Linked DNA regions of Daphnia pulex. The protein of the gene in region 1 binds, or shares a complex with, the protein of each later gene. Links are inferred from orthologs where the notes say so. Each region holds a gene or a part of one and is shown on either strand. Other genes may lie near its edges.

Evidence for each region. The genes of interacting proteins can lie anywhere in the genome.
Region 2: eukaryotic translation initiation factor 3 subunit G-like (region 1) and eukaryotic translation initiation factor 3 subunit K-like share a complex: the UniProt entries of both Caenorhabditis elegans proteins name them as parts of the eukaryotic translation initiation factor 3 (eIF-3) complex. The link is inferred for Daphnia pulex from reciprocal best matches to the Caenorhabditis elegans genes eif-3.G and eif-3.K.

The regions. Positions count from the first base shown.
Region 1 is NC_060023.1:11,177,178-11,180,733, forward strand, and holds eukaryotic translation initiation factor 3 subunit G-like, read right to left. Parts: upstream 2,303-3,556; 5' UTR 2,186-2,302; coding exon 2,166-2,185; intron 2,099-2,165; coding exon 2,058-2,098; intron 1,991-2,057; coding exon 1,752-1,990; intron 1,687-1,751; coding exon 1,519-1,686; intron 1,453-1,518; coding exon 1,302-1,452; intron 1,291-1,301; exon of another isoform or gene 1,182-1,290; coding exon 1,069-1,181; exon of another isoform or gene 999-1,068; coding exon 868-998; exon of another isoform or gene 709-867; coding exon 690-708; 3' UTR 607-689; downstream 1-606. Other genes in the region: flocculation protein FLO11-like, read left to right, coding at 1-205, 282-470; tRNA (guanine-N(7)-)-methyltransferase-like, read left to right, coding at 2,417-2,493, 2,562-2,680, 2,745-2,898, 2,962-3,106, 3,187-3,288, 3,348-3,485. UniProt on the Caenorhabditis elegans protein: RNA-binding component of the eukaryotic translation initiation factor 3 (eIF-3) complex, which is involved in protein synthesis of a specialized repertoire of mRNAs and, together with other initiation factors, stimulates binding of mRNA and methionyl-tRNAi to the 40S ribosome.
Region 2 is NC_060028.1:2,216,554-2,219,790, reverse strand, and holds eukaryotic translation initiation factor 3 subunit K-like, read left to right. Parts: upstream 1-1,602; 5' UTR 1,603-1,711; coding exon 1,712-1,764; intron 1,765-1,854; coding exon 1,855-2,074; intron 2,075-2,135; coding exon 2,136-2,355; intron 2,356-2,431; coding exon 2,432-2,589; 3' UTR 2,590-2,711; downstream 2,712-3,237. Other genes in the region: uncharacterized protein LOC124209413, read left to right, coding at 1-954; acylphosphatase-2-like, read right to left, coding at 2,934-3,048. UniProt on the Caenorhabditis elegans protein: Component of the eukaryotic translation initiation factor 3 (eIF-3) complex, which is involved in protein synthesis of a specialized repertoire of mRNAs and, together with other initiation factors, stimulates binding of mRNA and methionyl-tRNAi to the 40S ribosome.

The sequences.
Region 1 (3,556 bases):
TACTGCGCTCGGCTCGATGACTCTCTGTGTTGCTGGGCAGACGGACGCCACTATTTTGTACGTCGGTTCGGCCTTGGTTGGCGTAGGAATGGCTTCAACCTTCGCAACAGGCTTCATATGGACCGAAACACACCTGCTGGTAACTAACCGGATTTCTGCGGCTTTCTCAGTTGCTTCTTCAATGGGAGAGATGATATTCCCAACGGTACGTTAAATTTAAATGCTAATGATTTCCACTACGTATTTATAACCCGTCTGTTTTGTTTACCGTGTTGATACAGGTAACAGGCGCATTGATCGAGTCGAATCCACTTTCCCTGATGTACATAGTTCTAGGATGCACCATTTTTATCACGACAGTCTTTTTTGTAGCCTGGTACCTGGCAAAACGTAAAGGACGAGGCTTTAGCAGTAACAGCAGGGGCTATCATCTTGCACGTCAAGCCGAGGATGAATCAGCGCAAAACTAGATAACTTTACTTTTTTTTCACTTAAAAATAATGTTTAGGTGAGGTAATCCTCATTCCCTTGATGTTTAGCTTAGAAAGACAAAAGAGAAAGGTGAAAATTCGGTTCATGTCTGTGATAGAGGGTTGAAGAGCTTGATTGGAATCCATTTGCGTGTATTTTTTTTATCCCTTTACATGATCGTAGCATCCAATATTTGATGAAGGAATTTTAGGCTTTTTTCACTGTGTTCCCGATGGTCTGTTAAACGATTGAAAAGAGAAAGATCAGTTTCATTTGACTCGTCAATTTAAAGAACTAAATTGTTAAAAAATAAAATTTTAAAAATTCCAGTCATGAATTTCAAATTCAGCTCACAACTATTTTGAATGAAATTAAGTGAATTGAGAGCTAACTTACTTAGACCATTCGACAGTCAGGATAAGATGGTCGTAACCAAAACCATTCAAGGTCTTGATAGCTCGTTCGGCGTCTTCTCGTCGTTTGTAGCTGACAAATGCAAAACCTCTGGATTGGCCAGTGTTTTTGTCCTAAAATTCAGTTTGAAGCGGTGCCATAATTTTTACAAAATGATAATTAGTGAATAAATTTGAGTCTAACCTTTGAGAGGAAGATGCGTGAGATTTCGCCAATACGGCCGAACAATTCTTGAAGATCGGAATCGCGAGCGTTTTCCGAGAGGTTGGTTACTCGTACAGTGCACCCTTCATCAGCTGTTATCGGGAAAGAAAAGGGTAATCATTAAATAATGTTTTTCCTATGTATGTTTTCTATTACTTCTCCGGTGGTTTTAATAATATGAAATAAACTACTATGAAGAAACTGTATCTTACTTCGTCGACCCATAGCCATAGTCTCTCCTTTTCTGTTGCCACCATCACGAAGTGCAGGTGCAATATAGGCGCTTCCTTCTTTACCACCCTTGGCTTGCGGTCCTCCAGCAGCAGCTGCGGCAGGAGGCGGGCCGGCCTTCTTCTCCTCAGCCTTAATTAAAGAGATATAGAGCAAAATTAGCAAGAGTTCAATTCAAAATAAAGAAAATGTGTTTACCTTATTGAGTGCTTCTTGGACAGGCAAAAGTGTGTCCTTGTAAGGACACTGTGTTGTCCAATGGTCCTCTTTACAGATACGACACTTAACAATGCCCTTCTGCATGCTTTTTAACTTCATAAGAGGGTCATCTTCCTTGTTATCAGGATCCTCTTTGTTCGTAATAAACTGTCAAAGTAAAAATGGTAATTAGCATCCAACGGTTTTGATAGATCAACTGAGAAAAGAAATACCTGCATGGCTACATCTTCAGATACAATTGTTGTTGCAGGGTTTGGTCCTGGTTTATCTTCCTTGGAAAGACCAAATTTTGGCCAACTTTTACGCTGGGCAATGGCTTTAGCTACATACCTTTTCTCTATTTTGTAAGTACGCACCACCTTGAACTTCCTGTTATCATCATCAAGACCATACTCTGTGACAATTTTCAGCCCATTTTTGTATTCTTCAGTGTTAGGGGGTAAACCGAGACCTAAGGAATAATACCGGCATGATTAAAGAAAATCTTACATTAATTACGGGGAAGCGGCATTACTAACCATCGATATCCTCAACGTCATCGGCCCAACTGGATTTAACTCTGAAATCATATCAAGATTGTGTTGTATTTTTAATATTTGCACATTAATTTGTCTCATTTCACTTACTCATTATCAGCAACCGGCATTTTTCTTGGAGAAGATTGATTACGTCAAGTAAATAATCAAAAAGTAGAAAATTCACTGCTATTGCAGAAATGTGTCAGCAAGCAGCCATTAGAACGTGTGTAGAGCGACATTGCCAGTTTTGAAAAATTCATTTCGTAATTTTGACTGCTTTTACAATTTCGTCTGCTCTTCTTCGAATACAATCCCGCCGTTTATGAGATTCCGGCACGTGGAACTCGAATACAGCAAAAATGGCTAGCTTACCACAGAAAAAATATTATCGACAAAGAGCACACTCCAATCCTATCGCAGATCACTGTTTTGACTAGTGAGTATCTTATTTCCAGTTTTCGATTTATCATTAAGTCATTTTCTAACCCAATTTGTCGTTTGAAGTCCTGTCTCTCCCAATGACATGAAATGGGATGAGCTCTATCCTACATTCAGCAAAGATGGAATAATGAAACACAAAGTTCAGTTTGCTGATATTGGATGTGGCTATGGCGGTTTATTGAGTATTTTTATCACATTTTGCCAATAAAATATGTGGAAAATTAATTTTGTATTTTTTTTTAACAGTATCATTATCCACCATGTTCCCAGAGACTTTAATGTTAGGAATGGAGATTCGTTTGAAAGTTTCAGAATATGTCCAGGATCGCATAAAGGCGTTGAGGATTTTGCATCCAGGTGATTACGGAAATGTTGCCTGCTTAAGAAGCAATGCCATGAAGTACTTACATTTATTTTGTTCATTTACTTGGGCATGTTTGCTTAATTTATTCTATGCTACTAGGTACCTCCCTTGCTTTTTCGATAAAGGACAATTGACAAAAATGTTTTTCCTCTTCCCTGATCCTCATTTTAAGAAGGCCAAACACAAGTGGCGTATTATCAATGACACTCTCTTGGCTGAATATGCCTATGTTTTGGCTGAAGGGGTAAGTAGGCAGGCCTAGAACGGCCCTTCTTTAGCTACTTGATGTAGATATCTTGTGTGATTAATTAAATTTTACTTTAGGGTTTGGTTTACACAATTACTGATGTTAAAGATCTTCATGAATGGATGGTTATGCATCTAGACCAACATCCATTATTTAAGAGACTAACCCAGGAAGAGCTGGTTAGTTATACTTTATAATTAAATAGCTATAAAACTACAAATTCTTTTTGCGGTATCAGGATCAAGACATTGTAGTTCCAAAACTGTACGAATCAACGGAGGAGGGCAAAAAAGTCACGCGAAATAGTGGTGATAAATTTCTTGCTGTATTCAGAAGAATTCCTGATCCATTCGTACTTGAAGAAAACAAGTGCTAATGTATACAAATTTGTTTGCCGGTTCCCTGCTCGTCACTTGTATTGCTCCCAATGGAACTGTTTGCTGGAAT
Region 2 (3,237 bases), on another chromosome or scaffold:
CAAGGCATTAAAACTGCTTTTAATAATCTGCCTTTCTTGAAAATACTTTGGAATGAGGCAACCATTGACGGTTTGGCTGAAATAGCTCAAAATGCTGCAGATCAAGGGCTACCTATTCCTAAATACGCGTTGCTTGCCCTATATATTTTGAAAAATACAGTATACAAAGCTGGTAGTCTTGAAAAATCGGTGCTCCTCTGTCCTTACATTACAAAAGTGGACATGACATTGATGTGTGATGGAATCGTAAAAGACGCGGATCTCGTTAGTTTACTTTCCCTTAAAAGCCTCTACATCCTTGAAATCGATCAAAGAAAGCCTTTAAACTTTAATGAAGTTACTTTTAGATATTCTGGAGGTATCACTTTTGAAGGAGGAGTTCTTCCCCTTCTCAAAAAATTTGGGAATTCCTTGACAAAATTAGAACTTGACGTTTTCTTCCTTGACTTAGACATTTTAACCATAATGCAATTTTGCCACAAGCTTCAATACCTTTGCCTTCATATGCGCAGCAAATTTGATCGTTGGCCTAAAGAAGAAGAACAAAAATCGGGAAATAAAAGGGAAATTCCTATCTTAAAACATCTGGAAGAATTGATGTTATGTTCTGATGATTCGCTTCATTCCTTTGTCCCCGCAGAAATTGTGTTAATCTTATTGTCTTCTCCGTTACTATCATTCATTTCCATAAAACTTTTGAATAACCTAACTGACAAAATCATACGAAAAGCAACGCATGTCAATTCCTTTCGTCATCTTGAGAGATTGTGGTTAACTCACTGTAACGAAGTAACTAAATACGGTGTGAACCTTTTTTTACAACAGAATATCCCTCTAAAGAAACTGATTTTGGAACGTTGCGATAAGATAACGTTTGAAGATTCCATCGAATGGGAAGAAACTTTGACCAAGAACAATTGGGAACTTGAATTAGAAATACGTCACCCTTACTAATTATTAGTTAAAAAAATAAAAAGGTACAATGTAATACATTTTTTATGATAAAACCACTCAATTACCGCCGGTAATTAGCCTAATATCGGTAATTTACCGGTACTGTTTTTTTTTAATTATTCTTGAGTAACAACACGAGGAAATCTCATATGTTCTCTCTCGGTATCTTATAAAGGTGGCATTTTGATGTTTGCTCGGAATTCCTCGGGGAAATAGGGTTCATAGAGCATGTTTGAGCAACCATTATTAAAATTAGTTACTGATGGCAGCAAGTAACAGTTATTAGTTTTTATTTTTTGTCGTCTTTTTTAATCATTTGAATTTTGACCATCGCCTAATCTGCTAAGTGCTAAGTGTACCGTGAAAATATCTTCTGTCAAAGATTTTTCAAAGATTTAAATGTCAGCTACATCTTCAACTTTTAAAATTGGCGGAAATTCGAATCACTTTCATTGGTTGAAAGAAGCTCCACAGCTCCACCCGCTCCACCTACCAAGGAGCGGAGTTATTTTCCGACTGAGGGGTTTATGAGGGTTTTCGCCCTAAATTATAGCTCAAAAAAAAATCGTTCTATTTGTTTCATTCTCGACTTTTATCGCAGAGTGAAAATGGAAAGTTTCCACTCCTTCACTTAGCTGATAATGCTTTAAATGGCAACAGAGCCTCTTAGGCCGAAAGCGTCTGCTAAAGCCACATTTCCGTCATCCGTCAAAGTCTAGTTACTGATTGTTAACAATTTCAATAACAGTTCATTATAATGGCCGAAAAGATGAAAACAGAAATCGCTTCTATGCTACAAGGAATTGAAAGGTAAGAGAAAATAATCTGAAAAAGTTAACCCCATCTGCATAGTTGAGGAACACTGTAATGAACAATGGCGGTTTGTTCTCTTATTTCTAGGTACAATCCCGACAATCTTCAGAAGCTAGAACGCTATGTTGAACTGCAAGCACAAGAAAATATGTATGACCTAGAGGCCAACCTAAGTGTGTTGCGATTGTACCAATTTGGCCCAAATTTCTACCGCAGTAACATTGTTAATCTGATCCTACTGAAGGCAATGACCAATTTACCTCACACAGACTTCTTGCTGTGCAAATGCCTTTTGACTCAAGATAGGGTATGTAATATGATTGTTTAATCTAATATATTTAATAGGAATTAATTTTTTTACTTTTCAGTTGGAAGAACCTCAAGTGAGCAGAGTAATGGTCCTAGCTGATTTGCTGGAAACGTGCAAATTCAAGCAGTTTTGGGAGGAATTGGCCAAATGTGGTGACCTAATTATTACTGTTCAAGGATTTGAAGATGCTATTAGGAAGTTTGTTGCTCATGTTGTCAACATTACCTATCAAACTATTGAAGTTCCGGTATTAAAAGAACTTCTTGGCAATGTCAACGGTAATGGCAATATTATCCATGTATTCCCTCTTAACATGGTTTTCGACATTTTAATTTTAAAAACCTCTCTTTTCAGATCAAGTTTTGAAACAATGGGTCGGGAAGTGCAGCTGGAAGGACCTGGGCAACGGCCGTGTGTTCATCACGTCGCAAGAAGATTTGGTCAAGACCAAAAACATCACTGAGAAGATCGAATTTGAAAACGTGGCTGGAATCATGTCACACTGCATTTAAAAGTGAAACTGTCTTTGACCGATCTGCAAACAGGAAGAAAGAAAAACCAACAAACAAACAATTCCAAGGGCAGTGTATTTCTGTTTTGTAACAGCTTCATATACACAATTGTCATGTTTGAATTTGATGATCGTTAAACCACCCAAGCAGTGAATCCCATCGCCGTATTTACACCCGGAATCTGTTTTCCTCTCAAGCAGCATCTAATTAAAAGTTCTGAAATTCGATTCTGCTTTGGCCGATATGGTGTGGGCATGTGCCTCTACATTGACAAGTGAATTGGTGGATGTTTTAAATGATTAGCGGGACATTGAAAAAACAAAGAAAAACCATTTTCATTCGCTTCAAAAACGGATGCTGAATCCGCGGAACTCGGGCCGTGCAAGGTATTCCCAATTGCGAAGCTCGGTGTGGTCGATCTTGCATCCGGGGCTACCTGTCCTCGTCAGCCATTGTGCCCTGTGGAGGAAAAAGGTTTGGAACAACAATTTTAATTATTTCTAGTAGTAGAACTCGTTAAACACACAGACGAATCCGCTTTGGCACCGAGCGCATGACGGGTCAGGAAGATTCTAAAAGTAGCTTGTTTCTCCTCGCTCTACAGAGGACGAGCCCAGCATAGTTAAGGTATTTAACGACGTGTCCTGC